Linked DNA regions of Drosophila melanogaster. The protein of the gene in region 3 purifies or fractionates together with the protein of the main gene of each other region. This does not show direct contact. Each region holds a gene or a part of one and is shown on either strand. Other genes may lie near its edges.

Region 1 (6,958 bases), on a different chromosome or scaffold from region 3:
GTTCTCATACTGATCTTTAGTAAAATAATGCTCTCTTCGCAGGGAACAATATATTTGTTGCCTACTTTACAGCGTAGCTACCACATTGATGCCCATCACGAGTTTACTAACATCAAATTTGGTTAAAATTCTGGATGGTTTCTTGCTTGCATTTGCTTCCACTCCAAAAATCCAAGTGGCTAGCTTAAATTAAGAACTGGCCAAATACCAACGACATAAGCTTCGTATATGAAAGGCTTCAGGATGGGGGAAAACCGCAAACCCCGTAGCAGGAGCAAACGATGATGAACATCCTGGAAACCAAGATCTCAGCTATCATTCTGATTCGATGTATAAACCAGTGGTGAGAGCTACCTAGGATATTTGTGCATTTCTAAACAGAGTGGCCAAGCTTATCGCGGATGACCTGGTTGACGACGAAGTACAATATCTTGGTTGGCGGCACAATCTGCAATCTACGCCACTGGCTTACGTTGCAATCGAAAATCGTGTCCAGTGCCGTAAATTGCAGTTGTGTGAACGCAAACGGCAGCAGCGAAGGACATTTTAATTGGTTTATTGGTTCATACATATTCGAATTTGTATAACTAAACGGGTAACAATTGGTGCGCTTTGTTGGATGGCAAATGAGAAGACATGCGTGGGGAATGATGGTAAATGTGCGCTTGTGATTATGAAATTCATTTATCTAATACTTTGTTCTTGTCTTTTCCGTTTCCGTTTCCACGTCCACATCCACATCCACATCCACATCCTTTCCTCTAGACGTGCTGGCTTAGCCAATGGCATCCTCTACACACATCTTGTCCATTTGATCGGTGTAGAAGGCATTGAAGTTGATGCGGTGCACCAGATTCATGAAGCAATCGGCGGTGTTCTTCTTCGCCATGCTGTTGATCTGCTTGAGGAACGATATCAGCAGTTGGGTAAATTCCAGATCAAAGCGCCTAACCCGCTCCGAAAACGTATCTGTCGGATCCAACGGGGTCTCAATCTAGCAGGGGACAAAGAAATCACAAGTTAATCACTGGAACATACATGTGAGGATGTCACAAATACACTGAATTTGGGGGGAATTCTTATGTATATACAAATTCTTCCCGAACTCAGGCTAATTTTGTGGCATCCGTATACACAAAAGTATAAGTATATAAAATATAAAAATAAGTATATAAAATATATAGATTAACCGCTTAAGTTGGTCTTACACAAATTGTTTTAACTGAATTTCAAAACATTTTTTCCAAACAATACTACGTTTTGTAAGTAGATTCATTAAGAAGGAATAATAATCAGGGAAAACTTAATAATAATCTACTTATTGTAGATTATTTCTGCATTAGTAATTTAATGATACCAGAAGATGCATTTAAGGTTTTAAAAACAAAAGAAAGCAAATGGCCTAATGCATAGGCAAGCCAATCAAAAATAACTTAAAGCATGCAATCCAAATTCGAAATAAAAGAAACAATGCTATCAAAATCGGGGCCACGCCATTATGCAATCCAGCTGGACACAAAACGGAAATGGGTCCACCGATAACGAAAGTGGGAGCGAGAACACAGGAACCGCAAGGAACAACGTGGTTGAGCACAAGCCTACGCAATACCTGTGGGCAGTGCAGGCTCTCCTGTTCGGATTCGGAGCTGTCCGCGCTATCACGTACCATCGACCTGAGCTCAGCGTCCTGAAAGTAACGCTGCGTGATCTGCGAAGGTGGGGATTAGCAAGGATTCCACATAGAGTTGGAAGCGTTGGCAAGCGGGATAGACATAGAGCATTAAGAGCACGGAGCACGGAGCACGAAGCACAGAGCAAAGGAAGAAGGGTTGTACGCAAAAATTTAGCAATTTAGCCACCCGGTACCCTCGCACTGTAACTGGAACTCACCTGGATGAACTCGCAGTACTTCAGGCAGATCTTGCAGAGCTTGAAGATCGAACGATTCAGATGCGACGACTCGGTCAGCATGCAGTTCTTAAGGCACGAGTCGAGGAAGTCCTGGTGGAGACGCAGAACGTTATCCACGTTCTCCACCGTCTTCATCTTTTCAATGAAAATGTGCCAGTTGGGCTCGATGATCTCGATCATCATGTAGTACTCCAGGTTCTGGATGGCATTCATCATACGCTGGCGCAGAGTGAACGCCGCTCGATAGAGACTAGCCGCCTGCGGCTCGAACTGCCTGGCAATCGAGTTTTCCTTCCAAATCCTGTTTGCGAGAGAAGAACTTAAATGATCGTGGGCATAAAAGGTTAAGGATCGGGAACCCACTTGCACAGTTGGCGCTCCACGTGCTTGCAGTAGAAGAGCTGTCGAAAGAGCATTTGGTACTTGGAGATGGAAATGTGATTCAGCACCAAAGAGCAGGGCCACTTCACCTCGTAGGTGAAAGCGAAGCACTCGAGGCCGCTAAGATCGAGGCGAGGCTGTGCCTGCCAGTTCTCCTCCTTCTTCATGATCTTGGACATTTGCGTGACCAGGTCGTAGGGCAGCAGCTCGCAGTGCAGATCGTCTTTGTAGGGATCATTACGCGCCGAGGAAATGCGAAGCGTTAGTCCCAGCAGGTTCTCTAGCGTCATGGGCAACACGTGGTCCACGTTCTTCGTCAGCTCGTCCTCGCAGGCGTCCATGAACTGCATGGTGAAGTCGCCTTGGTTGAGCAGCAAGTAACGCTTCACCGACTGTAGGTGACCCATCAGGTCGTTCTCCGTTAGCAGCACATCCAGCAGCATGCGGGCGGCAAAGTAGTAAGCGTCGTTGATGACGGACACGTGCCGCTCGCTGGTCGGGTCGAACTCTAGGTTCATCTCTTGCGTGGGCATTACGCGCTTGCCACACTGTCTGATCACATTGAGATACTTGCCGGTGCGCAGGATCTTATCCGAATACTTTGCCAGAAACGATGGTATTTGTTCGTCGCGCAAGGTATACCGTCTCTCCCAATAATCGTCGGAATAGTGCTCGGGCAGCTCGTCGCGATGGATCACTTCGTTGTCCACTACGAGAAATTCCCGGTGGCGGTCCACGATCACGCCCTTCTGGATCCACATCTGCAGCATTCGCATGTACGGCTTGGCCGCCTTGCGCACCAGTCCGATAATCAGCTGTTGTGCATCTTTGTTGCCTTCCAGCCGCTTGATCCGCTCGTGTAAATACGTCAACACTTCGGCATCCCGTGAATCGCTTAGCTGAATGATCACCAACGAGGACCAGACCTCATGCATCACCCACATCGTCGGCTGCAGGTAGTACAGTAGTTTCTGCAATGTTAATCTATTGTGGCGCAGCTCCTGTTCGGCTTGTACGATTATCAGCTAGGCTCGGTGGAAAAAAAGATTAGTTAGGGAAAAATTTTGCCACGACACGATTGCACATCCTTACATAGAAGTCGTGTGTAAGTTCCTGCAGTGCCTCATTCAATGAGTTCATCACCTGACCCAGGCCGTCGGTAGCCGCGATTATCTTCTGCACGCCCATGAAGTAGGAGGCCAATGGCAAGATTTCCCGCACCTGGTGTGTCAGCGAGCGATCGAGGTGCGTGTGTATGTCAAAGTCCGTGTCGTATTTGGCCAGGCCAACGGCAGAAATAATTGGCTTCTGAGGCACCAGGAGGCTTTCTCTTATGCCCGTGAGGCAGTGCAGCAGCTCGTCGAGCAGCATACTCTCCTGGCTGAGAAGCGGCATTGCCGCGATCTCTGCCCTCGGCACCTTGTCCCCGTCCACCTTGTAGTATTCCCACAGTAAATGGGTGCGGTACTCATCGGGCACATCAGTTAGCGTCACCAGGTCATTCGGCATTGACTTTGGGCTGTTGCCCGTTTTGTTGGTCACCGAGCGGTAGCCGCTCAAGGATTGATCGGAAACGGCATTAAGCACACGTTCCTTGATCTGTGTGGGTTGATCATTGATTATTTGAAGGGGCCAAGTAATTGGCAGCGAACAGCACACCATACTTAGTCTGCACTCACCACACTTAAGTCGTTGCGCTCATCCTTGCCCGCTCCACGGTTACGGTCCATTGGGCCGCGCCTGACAAAGACTACGGGTGTAGTGTCGGATTCAGTGGCCTTTTTGCAATTCACCGGCGTCGAGGTGGGAAAGTCCTGGGACTGGGTCAAGCTAAGCCTGGTGGAACCAGATACGTTTTGCGATGTGGTTAAGATTGTCGAGGTGCTTGCGATTGCCAATGTGGTGGGGACTGAACCGGCTGCGGAATTAACATCCGAAGTCTTGTTTCCGTGCGGCAAGCCCATCGCTGAAAGGCTAGTGGAACTGCTGCTCTCGGAGACTGGTTTGCATTCGCTGTATCGCTCGACGAACACCAGCAGTGCGTACATGGGATCCTTATTCTGCAGAATGTGCGAGATCTCCTTGGTCACCTCTGCGAAGTTGGGACGCTTCTCGCTGATGGACACCAGGACTTTGATCAGATCGCAGGCTGGCAGCCGCCGATCACTAGTGGCCCGAAACTCCCGAATGATGCTCTCCGGAGTTAGGGGCGATCTGTGGGATAAAAAATGACAGTAAACTATGGTGCCAATGGCGGGAAAGAGGCGGTGCAGGAGCAACGGCTAGATCGACTGGCCACCTGTGCACTCAATCCACTTACTGCGACTCGCTGATCAAATTGGCGAGCACACCGCGCAGCGCATGGGGTTTACTCATCACGGAGATGGCAATTTATAGTTCCGCGCTTCTCAATTTACAGTTATAACCGGCAATTGAGCTCTTTTTGAGTGCGCCGCTCTTCTCAATATTTTGTTGTTCTTTTCCGGGTTGCTTGAGTGCCGACTGCAGCGACAGGGTTGTCATCTGTCCTTGTAATGTTCTAGTTTTTTTTTCAATCCTTAGCCGTTTTAAAATCGCAGATGCTCATTTTATTTTACGCGCTTGCAGCAATTTCGGAATCAATTTAAACTGAAATGAGCAGCACAAGCAACTTGATGCAAATTGGCATTTGTTGGTATTTAATTGTGAGGATGTGGTGACACTGGTTGCTGGCGAAAAAGAGGGGTGCGTTTAGCATAGTTTACACTGGACTGGCCACTACTGTAACTTATTTGCGTTAAAGCGTGCAAAGCATTGAAAAAATACAAATTTTGTTAAATGAAAAAAGCTGTACATAAAAAATAAATAAGAAATACTTTCTACCCACAGATTAAATAATTGAAACTACTCCTCTATTATTTTATTCTATCTTAACTTTATATTCTTGTTTAATCAACAAAATTTATATCTGGCAACTGTTTTGATTTTAAATTGCAGGCAAGTGATAGTGTGAATGGCCCATAGAGCAGCGGACAGTGTGACCGTGCCATAAGGGTAAGTGTAAGACCGCACTGCTGAGCGCAGGCGCAGTCCAAATCAGCTGCTTTGCAGCGATTACAGTCGCGTCCCTGATCTTCTGCAGCCGAAATCCGTGGGCGTTGCACCAACACCACCAACGCACTGCACAAACCGCCCACCAAGGACACGGTAGCGACCGACCGGAAGCCGCAGAGCATACGAATCAACACTTCTGGCAAGAGGAAAGGAGCATGTTCCCCCACTTGAAGGGCCATGGTCAGCGGGTCAACCTGCAGTTGCTGCAGGAGGCCGCCTGCCGCGAGCTGCTGCAGCAGCTGGACCGCATTGAGGGTTCCAAGGTTATTGTGCTGGACGAGACCATGATCGGACCGCTGGACTTGGTTACCCGGCCAAAGTTATTCGCTGATCGAGGCATCCGTCTGCTGGCCCTCAAGCCGGAGCTTCATTTGCCGCGCGAGGTGGCCAATGTGGTGTACGTGATGCGCCCACGCGTGGCGCTGATGGAGCAGCTGGCCGCCCACGTGAAGGCAGGCGGAAGAGCGGCCGCTGGACGGCAGTACCACATCCTGTTCGCCCCGAGGCGGTCATGTCTGTGCGTCAGCCAACTGGAGGTCAGCGGCGTGTTGGGCAGCTTCGGAAACATCGAGGAACTGGCCTGGAACTATCTGCCGCTGGATGTCGACCTGGTATCGATGGAGATGCCCAATGCCTTCCGCGATGTGAGTGTGGACGGTGACACTAGCTCGCTGTATCAGGCGGCAGTGGGCCTAGTGCAGCTGCAGCGTCTATACGGTCGCATTCCGAAGATCTACGGAAAAGGAGAGTTTGCGCACAGGGTATGGGAGCACGCCAAGCAGCTGGGCCGGGATGAGCGGACTCTGTACAACGGCGACAAGGGTGTCGTCGATCAGTTGATCCTTCTGGACAGAAGCATCGATCTGCTCAGCCCGCTGGCCACACAACTCACCTACGAGGGGCTTATCGATGAGTTCTACGGCATCCGGCAGAACAAACTGACGCTGCCCGCCGAGAACTTTCCCTCTGACGGAGCCCTTCCCGGAGGCGGAGGCAGTGGCCCACGAGTCGAGGAATCGCAGTCGCTGCTGGGTGACACCGAGAAAAAGACCATCCTACTGCACTCCGGCGAGCAGTTGTACGCGGAGCTGCGGAACAAGCACTTCAACGAGGTCACCAAGCTGCTCGCTCGCAAGGCACGGGAAATTCACGTCCAGATGCACGCCACCTCCCAGGACAAGAGCGTGCAGGAGATCAAGAGCTTCGTCGAGAACCTCCTGCCGCAGCTAATGGCCCAGAAGAAGGCCACCTCTGAGCATACGGCCATCGCTGGCCTCCTGCACGAACAGGTGAACGCGGTGCGCTTCGCTGACGACCTGGCTGCCGAGCAGGAGTTCATGGTCTGCGCAGATATCGACAAGCCAAGCGCCTACATCGAGGACCTGATTGCCTGCAGGGTGGAGTTGAATCGCGTCCTGCGGCTCATCTGCATGCAGTGCCACGCCGCCTCCGGATTCAAGGAGAAGCTGCTTAACCACTACAAGCGCGAACTGGTCCATGTGTACGGTCTGGAAGTGCTGCTCACCATCAGCAACCTGGAGAAATCGGGCCTGCTCCATCTGCAAACAGAGTC
Region 2 (7,210 bases), on a different chromosome or scaffold from region 3:
GTCTATTTCGAATAGCTTCGGATGATTAGACAGCTCGCTCGCTGGTGTTGCCGTGCACTTGCCACTGCTAACGTAACGTGCCTCCGCCCATCATAATCATTATTCCTTAGGTTTAAGGTTTTTCATGGTTGTCATAACGCATTTTCATACATAACTCATCTATGTACTTAGTTTTTTGTGACCTGCACAATTTACAGAGCCAGTGACCCAGAATTTATGAATGAAATCCATAATTTGAAGTGTTCTTAGTAGTTAGTTTGGAGCTGTTAAACCCATGTGAAACATGTTTATTTAGCTGTAATGCCCGCGATACGAATTGAAATGAGAAACGCGCTGGATTCGAATGGAAAATTAAATGAATTGGAATTAATTTTCTTTAAATGTTTATTTGCATTCTTTGGTGTTTGGGCATGGCATATGCATATCATAGCTTGCTTGATTTCATATGACATCTTTTTAATTGTATTGATGTTCATTTTAATTTATGTTAAGTTCACGCTCTTCATTTATATCGAATTAACAAATTATTCTTTTGTAATTTTAAGCGCTTTGCTGACATATGTTTCCACACGGTTTACTGTGTGTATCAGCGTACCAAGACCTTTATCTTCTAGAGAACTGCCGAATAGTTTTGAAATAACAAGAACATTGCAGAATAAATCCCATCCCATACTAACATTCATTAAATATGAAATTTACTAATATTGAAACCTCGTCCAATCACATCGGTTCTGCGGTATGTAACAAATCCTATCTACAAGTAGGACCCACCCATCTACTTGGGATTACTTTCTAAGACTTTGCTGCCGTAGAAATATGTGTGCTTTATACGCTTTGTAGCTCCCAACTAAAGTTGCTCGCATTGATACATCCCATAATTACCATACTTACCCAGAAACTGCTTTCTAACCCATTTGTGCTGTCCCATTCGAAAAACGATCCAATGTTCTGTACCTGCCTAATGAAACTTACAATCTTTGCAGATGTTCTTCGAGGACAACATCGACCATGCGAAGTACTCCGGACACCTGTACGGCCTGGGTACCTCCTTCATCGTCAATGGCACCAACTTCCACGACAGCAACGGTGAGACGAACAGCGCTTCATGATTCGTACTGATGGGGAACGTGGTCGTGCACGACAGGAAGTTCGAGCAGGAGGAATCACCGGGTCCGTCGGCATCTGTGCAGGCCACACCACCTGGCCAACTGATCCTAGCCGTAACAACACCATTGCAGTAATCTGTGGACAGTCGACACAGATCGTTCCCATTTGTGAACAATTATACCCCGTTGGCCATAAAGCTAACTTCTTGATGTTTCCCACGCAAGTTCAGATGAATAGGCAACCGTTCAATACGAAAACATGGCATAAACTAATTGTAAATCGCATAGAAATGAAAAACCGGCAAAACTAAAATAGATTCAATTTCAAGTTCTGCATGTCTTAAATGTGTTACGAATACAAAACTAAGGTATGTAAAATTAAGCTAAAACTGTAAGCCAATGAGCGAAACAGAGAATATTGTGTATTTGTAAAAAGAGCAAAAAAACAATATATTTAAAACTTTTTAATTTAGTGTACATTTCGAAAACGTGTTTTTATTTGAAGTATGAATACGAATCGAGATGTTTGGTTTAGTAGAAAAAAGATGGCGAAAACCTGTAGAAAAAAATATCAAATATCAAATATCAAATCAAGAGAAACCAAGAATCCCAATATCTACAGATGAAAACAAAATTTTCAAGGGTTAAAAATCAATAGTGGGTTAATGAACATATAAAAGGTATTTTTAAAATATAACGGAAATACGCCGAAGTAGCAATAGTCGGATTTTTGTGAAACTGTGGTGCGGTCACACCGAGCCTAGTCCTTATGTTTTGTTTATGGAAAATATCTTTTAGTTTTTGAGTATTAAAAGCCAAATCGATGGCAACTGTGGCTGAATGCAATCACAGCGTCCTCGACCTGGTAACCAAAATGGCCACAATGCTGGTGGCCGATGAGATGAAGCCAAAAAAACAAACAGCTGTGCTGGTGGCCAAAAAGCGCTCCAAAATCTATGAATCGCTGCTTCACAGTGAAACGATGTCGTCCCAGGACAAGCTGGAGATGCTCCACCAGGTGACCAGCGAGGTGGCAAAGAACCCAGACCGGATGGACATGCTGCTCAGGTTCCAAAATCTGCTAGAAGGACAGGATAAGGAAGAATCGGAGATTACACAGGACCAGGATGAGGAAAACCAGTCCGAAGTGGTGATCAAACGTATCAAGGCAGGTCCACTGCAGCTGATTGAAACCATAGAGATTGTGGAGGAGGCACTTCATCCAAAGGCCTTTCCCGACATCAATCAAATGAATCGCGCCCTGAAACCCCTGCAACTACAGCCATACTCCGATATTCTTACAACGAGTAACCTGAATATAAATTTTCCGCCAGAAAAGCTAATTCCGAAGATCATACCATCTACTGTAATTCGCATGGGATTATCAGAGTCCATTACACGCATGAGGAACGAAATGGAAAAACCAATGCATCCACCACCCCGATTGCCAGTGCTCGCGAAAAAAGTCGTAGCTCCATTAGAGGATGAACGACCTTTTGTGGCCCAGCCTGGACCGGAGAAGCACTTCGTTTCGGATAAATTGTTGACCAACGAACTTAAGATCCTCCGGAACAAGAACCTGGTTCTCAACTACCTAGATGAAGCAACCCTAATCGATCACCTAAAGAAAGCAGCGTGTGGTATTGAATCTTTAACGTTTCCCATCTCGTCGGCAGATAAGTTGGAGTTGCGAGTGAGGCCCAACACAACTTTGCCAACTATGCTGCCGGAGGTGCTGGCGGATTTTGCAAATCACTTCATTCGTGCCGGCTGCGCCTTCCTGCGTTTGAGTTCCCGCACCAAATGGAACAATATCGCCGAAATGCGGCTGGAAAGGCCTCTAAATCGAGTGAGATTGAATACCTTATTTCCAGTAGTGATATATTCAACAATCCCATGCTTTCTTATAGGCCATGCGAGAGACGATTATGGACTATCTAAGCACCACTCGGCAGTTTTTGCTCTCTTTGCAAGCCGATAGCCTTTTCCAGCTGCTAAACAACACCTCCACAGCGATTCAGTTACTCTGCCAACTAGATAGGATGTTCGAAAATGAACCAAGATGTAAGAATGCCGCGACGCGAAATTATTTCAGAATTAATCTCTTTTATATACATTAATGCAGTAAACCTGAACACTGGGATAACTGGCTCCTTCCTGTTGAGCTCCATCTGGCTGGCCATCGACACCTGCGGAAACAAAGACTTCCTGCACCTGCTCATCTATTTCTTGCGCTGCATATCCCGTAATTATTTTATTCAGCTACAGAGATGGATCTACCATGGTGAACTAGACGAGTCGGTCAACGAGATTTTCATCAGCCGCTGTCTGAACACTTCACCGTCTTTTACAAACCAGTGCAGCAAAGAGTTCTTTGACAAAAGCTATCAAGTGGACAACGAGGCGATTCCTGAATTTTTAGTCGGTTGCGAAGAGGAAATTCTTCAATGTGGCAAATACAACCTGGTGCTAAGGGCATATAACGCTCAGGTATGCAGAAGATTATTCAAAACTAGAATCCATATATAATGATTTATTCTTTTTTTAGCACCCCGTTTTTGACGTGCAGTACCCGGATATTGTGGTTTGCCTAACGGAGCAACAACTCAAAAATATGCGCCGCAACCTGGCCGATAAGTATGCCATCATCTATAAACGTTTCGGATGGTGCAGCATGCAAAGCATTTTCGAGGACCGCATGGCGACAAAGCGTGTATTTGCCAATCTAATGGTGAAGCGAACGCAGGCCCATCTGGACGCGTGGGCGCAGAAGCAGCGTGAACTCCAAATAAAAGCGAATGCCCAGAAAAAACTCCAGAACGATCAGTTAAACGCAGAGCAGGAACGTATCCAGCAAAATCACTTAGAGAAGCGGCGTCAGGACATTGTTAATGAACTTGCATTTCAGCGGGAATGCGAACGGATGGAGGATAAGCTCCTGGAGCGGGAAAAGCAAGAGCTGCAAAAGAAAGTGGTGCAGCTAGCAGCTGTCCTGTCGTCCAGTCCTGACCGAAGCACAGTCAGCGATCTCAGTTTTGCATCCTGCATTGAGGAACCAGATTGTCTAGCAGAATCATCTTCTGATAAAGATGATGCAAATACAGAAAATTCAGAGGATGAGGCAACAAAACAGTTGGATAAGACTTTAAATGTTCCATTGGAACAGCCCGAAGCTGAATATCAAGCGGATGTAGATGTGGACCAACCACGTGGCAAAGAGTGTTCACTTCCCAATGTGTTTCAGTATCAACGGAGTCACTCGGACGTGATAAATTCTAACGAGCATCCAACAACCCAAGCAGAGTTCAATCGAAACCGCCAGCATGGTCTCTCCTCCGACCAGTTTCAACAGTGTCATGCCACGGTACATCTACAAGAGTCCGACTTACTTAAAACCGCTGCCAGCACGAGTTCAGGATTGCACGCAGAAATTCCTCAAGATATTAATGCTAATCTCAATTGCCCGGACACGAAAGAGCTGACCGAACTACAGCGAAACCGCAAGCGCAACGAGCATCATGACGGCTTCTTCAGTTTTAACTCTACCGAAGATGAGCACACCCATCGATTGCGTTCCCTATTGAACTCAAATACTGAACGTGGCAGAAATCGACTTCGGGTTATGGAGACCGAGTTCGGTCTAGGTTATAAGAACACGGATATAGAAACAAAGGCCACGCCCTGTTTGCCTCTCGAAATCGACAAGCTTCACGTCGAAATTCCCCTGGCGGTGCTAACTCCAATGTCCACCACTTCCGATGTGGATTTCGGTGATCCGTCGCCACGGGAACTACCAGAAATAGCTGACACTGCTAATAATAACAATGTTAGTGGGAGCATTGAAAGTTTGTCTCCGGAGTTGCCAAAGCCCGTTCTTGCAATTGCTAAACCAACTAGCTTATTGCCGAAACTGGATTTTGGAATGAAAGATGAAAGGGAGACGGAACAGGACAGAGATAAAGTTAGCACTTTGCCCGAGGCTTGCAATCCGTTTATGGCCCGCCGCTGCCTGCAGCTCTCCGTAATGGCGCCCCTTAACGCATACTACGGACTGCTCCGAAATGAAGTGCTGAGAATATTCCAGGAGCAGCGTATCTACGAGCATTTCCGCAAGCTCAGAAACTACTTTTTCCTGGTGGACGGTCAATTTGGAGCTACACTCACGAACGAAATTCTAGGAAGAATAAGGGCGGGCGTTGGGCCACGAAGTCTCAGCCAGAAGGGCATCCTTGACACCATTTTAACCAATGCGCTGGCGGCTTGTTCGGCGGATGAAACGACGGTATCGGAGAACCTTACCCTCAATTGTACCACCATCCCGGATACGCTCAACTTCCTGTCCGTGGAAGCCACTTCTATGCTAAAGCTGAACTGCAAGATTGATTGGCCTTTAAACATGGTGATCAGCTCGGAGACGATTTCAAAATATGGCCAGATCTTCGGGTATCTGCTGAAGCTTCGTCACGTTAGTTTCGTGCTGGATGGAACCTACGAGTATCTGCAGCAAATGGGCAAGCTTCTGGGACCGGAACTTCGGACATGTACTCATTTCCGACACATGCAGATGATGCGCCACAAGATGTCGCACTTCATGACCTCGTTTCAAACGCATCTGGTGGCCAAGGCCCTGTTGTCCACCTGGAAGAGCTTCAAGGAGGAGTTGTGCACAGCCGATTCCATTGAGGCGTTGTACAAGCAGCATGTTGCCTACTTAAAGCGGGTAGCCTTCCTAGCACTGCTAAATCGACGCAGTGCGAAAGTAAAGGAAACCATTGATAATATCCTAGTGATTATACTACGCTTTTGCAAGTGAGTTTACGTCTTAAATAGTCTGCTGATTCATTTTATTCTTTAATTTAAATGTTTTTCAGAGTCATTCAGTCGCAGTCCTTTATTGTGGATCAAGATAATTACTTTGTGCACCCCCGCTTCAAACGTCTGCAGCAGGAAGAGGCTGAGTTCGAGAAATTCTTGCAGTATCTCATCTATTTGGGCAACAAGGCGGCCGCTTCTGGTTACCAGGAGGAAATCGGTGACCTGATTTGTATTATTAACTTTAACCACTATTACAAGGTATCTGGGAACCATACTGGTTCCTCAATGGAGGACAAAAAGTGCTAGCCAATAATTGTTAGATAGGGAATTTATCTTGCCATTAAGCTGAGCTTAGAACATTTTAAAAAATATTTATGCATGCATGGCGTCTCCTAAATGTAAAGCTTCGGTGAAGAAAATCAGCTTTAAAGGCATTTATTTCTTAGTACTATTTCTTTAGTTTCGGTTAACAGTTTTGTTGTGTTGTAAGTTAATATTAATTTTCAAATAACCGGCTCAAATTAAAAGAAAATAATTTAATTAGTAACATCTAATAGTGTTTTAATTGAACTCGTATTAAATGCCGAAAAAACTGTTTTGAATATTTATCCATATCATTAATAGATTTCTGTTTAATATTTAAGAAAAACTTTTAAAAGAGACAATTGTCTCTAAAGTAGAATGTACGTATTAAATATTGTAATGAAACCAATGTCGACATGATTTCTTGAAACTGTTGATTCGAATTTATAAATAAATGTGCTTATTTATGTATGTCTTACCATATTTAATATTTAATATTTAATATTTAATTCAAACGTATGTAAGGTATCGCTTCCCTATCATCTCTAAGTGACTGTGCGCGTACGATGTATCGGTATTCGCTCCATCCCTGGTCATGAGTCACTTCGTGTAGAATAATTCAGTTTTATTTTTAGTTTATAAAAGCGCTGCACGCGATCAAGAATTTTATATTTTTAAGTAATTTATTTCATCGAACTATAATCAAAAAACATGCAGGTAAGATGGACTGTTATAAGCAAATTATATTTATTATCCGAACAATAAGGTTTTTCCATTTCGATAAATGGTAATGGTGGGTGTGTTTTGGTGCATCCAAAAATAAACCCCATATTTGGTATTGAAAATCATGAATGAAATGAAACTCACGTGGCCTTGTTGTCCATAGGACCCAAACGAAGATACCGAGTGGAATGATGTGCTCCGAGCCAAGGGAATAATTGGGCCCAAGGCGAAGGAGGCGGAGATCACAGAGGATCAGATCCAGA
Region 3 (4,281 bases):
CGCAGCACATGATCTTCCAAGTGAAAGGAAAGCTAAGAATTAATCATATAAATTGTTTTCACTTACGATTTTATTTTGTCTTGGGGAAAAGCGTTCAGGGTATCCTAATTTCCTTCTAAAAGGGCAGCTAAGTGGACTTTAAACCAAATTAGATTGTTCTCTATGCAATGTGAACTAAACACTTACATTTGGCCTATTTACAGAAATAGGATCTTAGAAACAACAAAATAGGTACCGGAAAACGTAAGACACAAACTATTTTCAAAGGTGTTAACACATCGAATTTTGGAATACGAATGGAAAATTCATTTCGCTCAGTCTGTTACGGGGAAATGTGAAGTGACATGAAAAATCAAAGCCAATATGACTATAAAAATGTACACATATCAAGATACATGTGGATGTGGAATTAGTGATTGTGTTGACCAACTTTAAACTAACTAACGAATAAGTAAATTTTAGTTATTGTATATCCTTAGTTGAATAAAAAACCCTTTTTTTCACACAAAAGTTGATATCAGAACTTTTGTGTGTTGAGGTGTGATCGTTACTACTTCCTACCTCGTTCAGAGTTATTTTTGCTTGATTTATGTAAGTTGAATCATTCCTGGAAACTTTTATAATTCCTAAATTGATTATAAAGTATTTTAAATACATATATTATTGTTGATAAAAAAAATAAAAAGTATTGACGGTTGAATTATAAATAATTATCGATTAACCGGCTTTCGAAGCTTCGACAGCAGGACTCCACTGGGGATAATCGATCTGGGTGGCTGCCTCATATTCCTGCACCAAGCAGTCAACCGTGTCCCGTGCGATGTCCAGTTCGGTCAGGTCGTCCTGGAACATGGATTCGCGGCGAAAGTTGTCGAGGAAGGCGTTGCGCTTCCTCAGCTTATCGTACTGGGCCAAGGCCCTCTTGAAGAGCGAACTGATACCCGTGTGATTGGCCATCATCAATCCGGATACCTTGTGGGCCGACTGCACATAGGGCGAGCTGCGCGGCAGAGCCACTTGGATGCTGGCCGGACCCCATGGTATGAAGTTGGCCAGCTTTCGCTCGCGGATGCGCTGCAGCGACTTGTGCACCTGGGATGGATCCACCTCGCCCTGGATGATGTTCAGTATGGAGACGAAGCACTGGCGGCTCTGCTTGTCCGTCAGCGCGGAAACCATCATGTTCTTCGGCTGCAGAAGGCGACGCATTACATCCAAAACGGTGGTCTTTCGAACGCTTGTCTTGGTCTGAAAGTGGTTGCCTCTTTTTATTTGCATTCCCATTTACATATGTCATATCATCATACCTCGCAGTCGGACATTAGCGGAGTATATCCCGTCATCAGGAAGTGCAGCTGGGGCGTGGGAATGAGCGAGGCGGTCAGACCGATGAGGTTGTTGTTCATGTACGAGGGATATCGCAGGGTGGTGGTGCTCAGACTCATGATGGTGGACACCAGATTGTTGATCTGCGTAAAAGTGGGCGTTTGGATGTGCAATCTTTCGGTGGCGATGCGGTTCAGTGCGGTATTATCCAGCACCACCACACTGTCCGCGCACTTGGTCAAACGCTTCAGGGTAAGGATCGAGTTATATGGCTGCACAACCACGTCGCTGATCTCGTCCTGATTGGGAAAAACGCTGTACGTCTGTATGAGCTTCTTGGGAAAGCGTTCGGACAGCCGTTCCAGGACATATGAGCCCATTCCGGACCCAGTTCCGCCGGCTATCGAGTGGCAGAGCACGAATCCCTCCAGCGAATCGCTGCCATCGGCCTCGCGGTCCAGAATGTCGAACACCTCCTCCTGCACCTTCTCACCCTGGCTAAAGCCGGACGCCCAGTTGTTTCCTGCTCCACCGCCGTGCTTGGAGAGGAACACATTCTCCTGGTTGTACAACTGCAAAGGGGAAACACATATCCATCTACATAGTTTTTTAAATGAAATACATAAAATAAAGTAGATTAGATCAGAATCCGATCCAATAAGACCAGTTTCCGCACTGACCTTGGAGTACGGAGAGGTCATGATGTTGTTAATGACTCTGGGCTCTAAGTCTATGAGAACGGCCCGCGGTATGTAATGGTTGTCGTCCGCCTGGTAAAAGAACACATCCTTGCGATCCTGTCCATCGGTGGCGAAGTCTTCCAGGACGCCATCCGGGGAGATGCCGTGCTCCAGGCACAATCTCTTCCAGAACTCGAAACCAACTGCGGAATGGAGTGATCTCGATCAAGCCGGAGCTTCTCTTAACTTCGATTTCGACGTGAAGAACTTACTTTGATTGCCACATTGGCCCAATTGAAGGGTTATAATCTCGCTGGGCATTTTGCTCGAATTGCAGTTTAGTTAATTTCGCTTCTTTCTCAGTAAATAATAACTGTGCATCGAAGGCCAACTGGAGATGGAAGTGGAAGTCATTAATATCGATATACAAGAAGTACAATACAACAGTAAGTTATTACCTATTTTTCTTTACTAATCTTTATGATTTATTTAATGTTATTGGACTTATAGAAAATACTTAGAATTAAGATTTGATCCATTTTTTTTTTAAATATTTAGGTTCAAATAAATTAGCCATAGTTATATATTTTTTATGTTTTCATTTACATAAAACATTAACTGTTATTTTTTTAAATTTAAAGGACTAGCTTTTTCAATTGTACAGCACACCCTGTGGCTGCGAGTAACGGTTCTCGGGAGTCGTTATTTTCTGAGAAGCGCGCAACGTGCACACTGGCAGGCTGATTGAAAAAATTCGTTGCAAATGTTTATGTACAAATATTGAATAAAAAATAAAAATGCTGCGGCAGGAGAACTTGGCAGCCAACTTCTGCGGTCTCCTGGCCAGCCAGGGCTATAAAGGTGAGTTCGTATTTCGCCAATTTACTCCGAGCCTCATGGATGTCCGTAAAAATCGCAGAGAAGGCAAACGAGTGGCGCATTTTGGGCCAGGAACAGGATGGATCTCTGCTCACGTCCTGGATATTCGAGTACGCGGACGAGGATCAGCGCAAGGAGACGTGCATTGGCCACTTTCACGCCACCAAGAAGCAGCTGCGACTCCTTTGGACCCTCGACAATTGCCGTGAGATCGTCCAGGCAACGATTAACAGCAGTGTCACATTGCTGTCCTTCGTGGAGAAAACTGAGGGCAAGCTCTATCAGGCCTTTGTCGTGGAGGTAAGGAGCTCCGAAGGTGGCACGGCCACGCCCCTCAACTCGGAGCCCTCCAACCGCCAGATGATGACGCAGTTCCTGTGGCGCGTCGAGAGTGCCACGCGCACCTGCTGGCAGGACAAGCTACTGGTGCTCACCCACGAGGAATGTAGGTGTCATGTATATGTCATTATCCACCTCTAACTCCCATGCTCGTACCTGTTTTTTCTAGCCATCAAGCAGTACAGCTGCGTGGTCAAGCAGAGCTCCACCACATGCTCGACTGGCGGAGGCGAGGGCAGCGCCTGGAGGCTAGACACCAGCATACTGACCTACGAAACGCTGGCCAGGAACTTTAGCTGGGCCCAGTGGGATCCCGAGTGCCAGGCTCTTTATTACATTCACTTGAAGCCGAAGGCCAAGAGCCTCAGTCTGCTGGACGAGAGGGAGGAGGCTGGCGAGCAGACAACTCCTACTTTAAGCCCCACGCTCTCCGCCTTTCAGTTTAACGAAAAACAGCCAACGGAAACAGTGGTAGGTACTTAAAGATTAAAGTATTACGTATAGGTGTAGTTACATCTTTCTATTGCAGCTTAATATACCCCTCAATTTGCCAAAGCTGCCCAATGGCTCCAAAGAGGAATCGCCAAGCTACGATGACGATGCGGTTCCCTTGCGCGTGCACGATAGTTCGCTAAATCTCATCATACTGGCGGACACCTCGGGCATGTTTTTCGTCTGTCACTACTACCTGTACCAGCCGATGCAGTCGGAGCAAAGGGATGTGCACTTTGCCTACTCGGTGACTTTGCTTCACCACGGCTATGTGGTGCACTGCGTCATGCCCGGTGTGCCGTGGCAAAAGGCCCGTCTGCTGAGGCCAACATTTGCGCTACACGGCCAGCATCACTTGCTGGTGTCGTCCGCCTTTTTTGTCCACCTCTTGGACGTGGGACTGCAGCACGAACCGAACTGCCATATCGTGTGTGCAGCCCACAATCGAAGTCCCGATATCACACAGCTGGTGCCTTTGCGAAAGTGGGGAGCTCTGGCTTATGATGCGGCCACCTTGGATCTGGTCTCGTTGTCCGTGCCCAAATCCCATTTGATAGAGGCTTTC
Region 4 (5,947 bases), on a different chromosome or scaffold from region 3:
TAGCCTAACATTGAGGTGCTGCAGATTGAAGATTGAAGGAAGGCGGAACACATTAGCGCCACGCCAACCATGAGAAACCAGCTAAACGGGCGAAGCGAAACGAATAGAGCGGCGAGGCGGCAGAGATCAACGGACTATGCGACGGCAAGGAGTGCATTGCTGCTGTCTGGTGGCCATCGCCCTGGCCATGGCCATACGCCAGGTGTCCATGGGCATCAGCGCCAGCGATCGCCGCTTCCAGTGCCTGCAGACGCGACTGATAGGCCAGGCCAACTGCTCGCCATGCGCCGATCTGTACGTCTTCAATCGCCAATCCGCCTACCGGCGCTGCGAGCACGTCAACGGTAATTGCTACCCACATCGCACGGTCTTCGCCAGCGCCCGCATGTGCGAGCTCACCTGCCAGCCGTACATCCGGCGACCCACGCTGCACGAGGTGACCACCCTGCCGCCGCCACCACCGATCGTCGAGCCCTTCGGCGACAGCGATGAGGAGTTCGAGTGAGGTTTTGTCAACAAAGATAAGCTGCTTTTAATTCAGTTGGTATGGGAATGTTTGGTCGGGATTATAGGTAGTGGTGCAGGTGATGGTAATGCGTAATGTTTAACAAGATCCTTTGTGGAGGAGATTCGATTCTAATGGGGCACACTGGAGTTGATGGTCTCCTCCAAGGCAGACACTGCAAGACGAAGTGAAAAAGAGTAAGTTCAAATGTCCAAATTTCGGGACCAACAATCACTTACGGAATCCGTGATCGTTCTGGTGCACCAGCGTGTTAAGGATGTCGGCCAGCATCTGGTGGCAACGTATGTACGTTAACTCGATCTCCGCCACCTGGTTGAGCGCCAGGTACTCCAAGCTACGACGTTGCGTTTCGCTGTCATCAATGCCGTCATCCGAAATGGTGACGTCCAAGCATAGGGCATCGTGGTCGTGCATGCAGCTGGCGCAGGTGGTCCACTCCATGTCCAGCACGTAGACCAGATGAAAGATCTGGTCGAGGGCGACGCGGAATGCCTTAAATTCGTCGGTCAGCATACAGTGTGTCTTCAGCCACGCCAGGTGCTCGTCGTGCATGATACGCAACTCGCGGACATTCTTGCACTCGCCAATCCTGAGCTCGAACTGCCGGCTCACGGCCTCCATAATGTGCGCGTGCAGGTTGTTGATGAGGAAAATTAACCAGAAGCGCACAATCTCCAGGCGACGAATGGTCAGACCGATCAAATCCAGTGGTGCGCAGGGATTGAACCTAGCGCGACGCAAAAACTGCATATTCTCCAGCTTCCAGACGGCCCACTTCACCTTCAGCATCAGACGCCACACCGAATTGTAGTCTTGCATGTGCGCGGGTGTGAGAATGTACCACTGGTGCATGGCCATTGGCCGCTCGAAGTCCAGTTCAATAGCCTCCAGGGCCTCATAGACCTTGATTGAATTCGAGTTTATCTGGGATATTAACTTGACATGAAGATAATGAGCCAATTGCGGATAATGCGGAAGGAGCACAGCGCATAGCTTAGAAGTGAGCACCGAACCCAGTGCCCAGCTATTGTTTTTCTCCATGCGCACGAAGAGTGCGTTGTAGTATGGCACAAATAGGTAGTATTTCTCCAGCAGCATCGTATGCCGCAGGAATCGCATCTTCTCGGCCACCTGCGTTTCCTTGCAGTACGCTCGAATCGCGTACTCGTTCGCCAGCCACTGTCTCCTTCGCAGTATTTCGCGCAGTGCCTCCGGCAACTCAGACTTCAGCTGCAGACATGTGGAGCGCTCCAAGCGCTTCAAAATGTTGGCCATTAGAACGGGGTTGCTTTTAAGCCGCTCACGTTGTCGCTCCAAACGTTGTTCCACCAACGGCTGGGTAAATATGGCGAAAAGTTCATGGTTCCTAATGCCCTGCCTATTGCACACAGTCAGATCTTCGTAGTCTTTGTCCGGCTCCGGCTCATCCTCGTAATCCGTGTTGTCCGCACCACAGTAAACCTTTAGCTGCGCAAAGAACTGCGTGAACAGCTCATCGTGCAGCGACGGCAGTTGGATTTCATTGTTGCTGGTCAGCATTTCGCTCAGCGTATTTACACTACATAGCAAATCTTGCGTTTCGCCAGACTCCAAGGCATGCTCCAGCAGTAGCTGGTAGAGTGGGCAGGATTGCAGCTTGTTGAAGATCTCCACGAGTAGCAAATCATCCTCCATTCCCATATTTCGTTTGCGCACGTGGCTACGTGTGTTCGCATCTTCCTCGTAACTATTAAAAACAATGTAGTTATGACTTCAGCTGGCCAGAGTGATGTGTGAGCACCATTTTGGCTTACCAAAACTCCACGATGAACTCGCGAAGGTGATCTTCCAGCGCGGCCCTGCGCCACCAGCCGTCGATGATGATACAATATCGCTTGAGAGATATAAACAGCAGGGCAGTGGCCAGCTTCTGGTGCGGCACCTGCAGCAAGGTGTGCTTATACAGTCTGGATAGCAAGTAGGCACTGCGTATGTGCGCAGGTCCCTTATCCAGGATGACATCTTCGGCCAGCTCTCGCAGTAAGCGCAGCTGGCTAAAATGTTCCCTGAACTCAATCGTAAAACGGATCAGTGTATTTTTCGCTGGATCCTTATTGACACGATCCTCGTAAGCGATGAGGAGCTGGCAAATGGGCTGGACAAGATCTCTCAGGCCGTATGCAAAGAACTCCACGGTGTATGTTGTCTTTACGCCATGAAAATGCAACGTATGAGTATCGATGATGTGACGCAGTTCCATCATGTCCTCCAGCGCAGGCACCACATCAAATAACAGAAAATTTTGCATTGTGCTCTACAAAAAAAAAAGCCGGACTAAAGATAGAGTTACACATTAACGATTCGACTTTCTTACCGCAGTCACCGTACAAATACTGACATTGTCACGCACAGTAATGCGTCGCGTGGCCTTGTCGAATTCAAAGAAACAACAGCTCGCTGGACGCACAAACATGAAGAGGATCTCCCTTAGCAGACAGGGCTCCGTGATGGTTTTCGGCACTGGCAGGGCCAACAAGCCTCGGGCATTGTGATTCAGAAACTGCACGTAGCTGACGGCAAAGTTGTCCAGTGGCTTAGCACTGGAGGGCAGGGCGTTTAAATGGACATCTTGGCACCACCAGTGGGAATGGATTTTACGGAAGAGCGTATCTGTGTTGCCACTTTGCCAATATTGGGTGAATGGTCGGGGCGGTTGGGGTGGCGGCAACTGGAGCAGCTTGCTTCGTCTCAGATGGCTGCCCTTTAAGTTGTTGAGGCTTAGAACAGTTGGTTTCATTATCCGAAAGTCGTAACTCCGGATCACGCTCTGCTCGGGCGGCATATACGTTTTGTTAACACTTCCAGTCGGAACGACTGCCATCATGGCCTGCTCGTACACCCTGGCCATTTCCAAGAGGCTTCGCGAGACGCCAATATTTTCATCGGGCTTCAGAGTAGTTGTCGAGTCGCAGTCCGACTCCTCCGACCAGTCCTTTTGGAAAGAAGGTAAAGGTATTAGTATGCTGCAAATGATTTTATGGAAAGAACAGGCTACATATGTGTAGCAGATGACATATGTTTGGGGTTCTCTAGATGCTCACACTTAAGCTGTCCGAGCTGTCATCCTCTGGCGGATCCAGAAAATCCTCGGACAGCAGCGCTGCCCAGTCCACCTCCGTTTCGGAGGTATTCTTGGCTGCCTCCAGTTTCGCCTGTTCCTCTATCTGTGCCTGTCGCTCGGCTTCCTCCATGCTATTAATTATGGACAGACGGCGCTGTTCCATGAACTCGCGGTTCAGCCGGATCTTTTGCACCGGCCTATCGGCTATGCGAAACAGCAATTCGAGCATTTGCCATCCGGGGTTAGGATTGAATTGCTGTTGATTTTCGTCCATAGCCAAATACCTGATGGCCAAGTCCTTGATGCTCTCACCAAAAGACGCCATGCCCTCCGCCCGAAAACGCTCTGCCAGATCGTCCAGGTTGCGTTTCACCTCCATGTCCGTCGTTGTAGGAGCCCATGTCCTGCGTTGGTTGGCGATTATCTTCAATGCCGTATCCTCCATCTGGCGCAACTTTTTCTGGCTCGTCTGCGTTTTAAGTTGGTTAAATTGGAATAGGGATAACATCTGTTTTAAAACATACCCCCGGTTCCGACAGGCTCCTGACCAGTTTTCGCACGTTCTCGTTTATGGCGGAGTTGACTGCCGTCGAGGTCTTGCCGGAGCGCTTCCGTAGGTTACCCTTCTGGGCGGGAGGAGCCATTTCGCTCCGCTTTCTGATTGAGATCCAATAAATTCTATAAATGGCGCCCTCAGCAATGACAACAACGTAAATGGTACACCGGCATAATTATCGGTTCAGTTATCGATAGCAATGGAAACAGCTGTTCGTGGATGATCGACAATCGACTTGAAACGTAAACAATTGTAAATGTTGTCATTTAAATTGAGTTTTCGAAGGGCAATATGACGACCAGCTCGCCTCACCCCACCTACGTAATACTGGGCTCTGGCGGCCACACGGCGGAGATGTGCCGGCTGACCCAGGCGCTGCTGCAACAGACAGACATCGAACAGACGGAGAAGTACCAGCCAATTAGACTGATCCTGGCCAACAGTGACTCTACCTCCGAGCGCCAGTTCAGGCAGGTCCTGCCGCAGGCTGCCCAGAGGGCGGAATTCGTGAAGGTGCCGCGCAGCCGCGACGTGGGCCAATCCTGGCTAAGCAGCATCTTCACCAGCCTGTGGGCGCTTCTCTGGAGCTGCTATCTGGTCTGGCGTGATCGCCCCCAACTGATCCTCTGCAATGGACCCGGCACCTGTGTGCCCTTCTGCTATGCCGCCTATCTGTGGCGCCTCCTCGGACGCCTGCCCTCGCACTCCAGAATAGTGTTCGTGGAGAGCTTCTGCCGCGTGGAGACGCTGTCGCTGAGCGGACGCCTGCTCCTTCCGCTGGCGGACCTCTTTGTGGTCCACTGGCCGGCGTTGGCCACGCGCTATTTGGATAAAAAGAATGTGCGATATTTTGGGCGAATCCTGTAACATGTTTTTAATAACATTAAAGTTAACATTAGTTTCTATTTAACGAATTATGTTTTGTATGAGATGTTTTTTGTCCTAGCGCTTCTTGCGACCAGCGCAGACGGATCCATGGACCTTCAGGTGTAGAGGCATGATCTCCAGGCCACATCTGGGGCAGCCTACGGTCTCTTTGAAGAGGTTGCGCTGGCGGCGCTGACGCGGAGTAAGTTCGTCCTCGCTAGACGGCAGAGTAGACGAGTCGGTAGAGGAGCTCAGGTTGAGCTTGTCGATCTCCCCTTCTGTGTAACCGGAGCTGCGAAGAATTCCTTTTGATGACTTTGCTTTCGATTTAGCGCGGCGTGATGTGGAAGCTCCCGACGAGTCCTTTGAGGTTAAGGAAGCAGTTGTTCGGCGGTTTTTAGGCTTAAACGATGGCGGTTCCAAGCGCACCATAATGGCGCAGCCATCGAAGTGATTGGACAACTCAGTGCGCCTCATTTTCTCAAAGCAAATGGGACAAGATACGATGTCGTTCTCAATTCTTTTGGCGTAGCTTGAGCAACTGGGCTGCACGTCGTTCTCACGCTGGAACTCCTTCAGCAGGGTGTCCTCTCCAAAAATATCATCTATAATGGATTGGTCAGCTAGCTCCGTGGCGGCTGTTAAAGATTCATTTGCGGCCACCTCATCGTCGTATTCATCATCAATTAAGAGGATATCGTCCTCACACAAGGTCAACTCATCCTCCATTACCTGGCGCTTGATGATCTGCGTGCGCTCCTGACTGGTCATGGTTTTTCTGCCAGCTGGCATCTTCATCTCCTCTTCATCACTAGAGCTTTCGACCAAGTTGACGATGGGCGTATGAACATCCCTGACCATTACGTCATCATCGTAGGACTCCCAGTTGATTATCTCG

Evidence for each region.
Region 1: the proteins of gammaTub37C (region 3) and Grip84 purify together in Drosophila melanogaster (affinity purification with western blotting; 4 studies listed by BioGRID, with this or other methods). This does not show direct contact.
Region 2: the proteins of gammaTub37C (region 3) and Grip163 purify together in Drosophila melanogaster (affinity purification with western blotting; 4 studies listed by BioGRID, with this or other methods). This does not show direct contact.
Region 4: the proteins of gammaTub37C (region 3) and Grip128 purify together in Drosophila melanogaster (affinity purification with western blotting; 4 studies listed by BioGRID, with this or other methods). This does not show direct contact.

What each region holds. Positions count from the first base shown.
Region 1 is NC_004354.4:19,560,802-19,567,759, forward strand, and holds Grip84 (Gamma-tubulin ring protein 84), read right to left. Parts: upstream 4,964-6,958; 5' UTR 4,669-4,963; coding exon 4,613-4,668; exon of another isoform or gene 4,507-4,612; coding exon 3,972-4,506; intron 3,892-3,971; coding exon 3,385-3,891; intron 3,318-3,384; coding exon 2,275-3,317; intron 2,213-2,274; coding exon 1,891-2,212; coding exon of another isoform or gene 1,852-1,890; exon of another isoform or gene 1,709-1,851; coding exon 1,610-1,708; exon of another isoform or gene 995-1,609; coding exon 776-994; 3' UTR 539-775; downstream 1-538. Other genes in the region: car (carnation), read left to right, coding at 5,541-6,958.
Region 2 is NT_037436.4:11,992,770-11,999,979, reverse strand, and holds Grip163 (Grip163), read left to right. Parts: upstream 1-1,841; 5' UTR 1,842-1,929; coding exon 1,930-2,955; intron 2,956-3,016; coding exon 3,017-3,170; intron 3,171-3,231; coding exon 3,232-3,596; intron 3,597-3,654; coding exon 3,655-5,915; intron 5,916-5,977; coding exon 5,978-6,227; 3' UTR 6,228-6,706; downstream 6,707-7,210. Other genes in the region: Pop2, read left to right, coding at 1-25; viaf (viral IAP-associated factor), read left to right, coding at 6,936-6,941, 7,111-7,210.
Region 3 is NT_033779.5:19,183,326-19,187,606, forward strand, and holds gammaTub37C (gamma-Tubulin at 37C), read right to left. Parts: upstream 2,402-4,281; 5' UTR 2,328-2,401; coding exon 2,279-2,327; intron 2,210-2,278; coding exon 2,007-2,209; intron 1,899-2,006; coding exon 1,308-1,898; intron 1,249-1,307; coding exon 718-1,248; 3' UTR 538-717; downstream 1-537. Other genes in the region: CG46059 (uncharacterized protein), read right to left, coding at 1-10; pigeon, read left to right, coding at 2,804-2,867, 2,926-3,330, 3,394-3,695, 3,754-4,281. UniProt on the Drosophila melanogaster protein: Tubulin is the major constituent of microtubules. The gamma chain is found at microtubule organizing centers (MTOC) such as the spindle poles or the centrosome, suggesting that it is involved in the minus-end nucleation of microtubule assembly.
Region 4 is NC_004354.4:15,467,770-15,473,716, forward strand, and holds Grip128 (Grip128), read right to left. Parts: upstream 4,351-5,947; 5' UTR 4,271-4,350; coding exon 4,151-4,270; intron 4,096-4,150; coding exon 3,607-4,095; intron 3,498-3,606; coding exon 2,880-3,497; intron 2,820-2,879; coding exon 2,320-2,819; intron 2,253-2,319; coding exon 745-2,252; intron 681-744; coding exon 637-680; 3' UTR 512-636; downstream 1-511. Other genes in the region: CG15641 (uncharacterized protein), read left to right, coding at 137-505; Alg14 (ALG14, UDP-N-acetylglucosaminyltransferase subunit), read left to right, coding at 4,474-5,049; mh (maternal haploid), read right to left, coding at 5,125-5,947.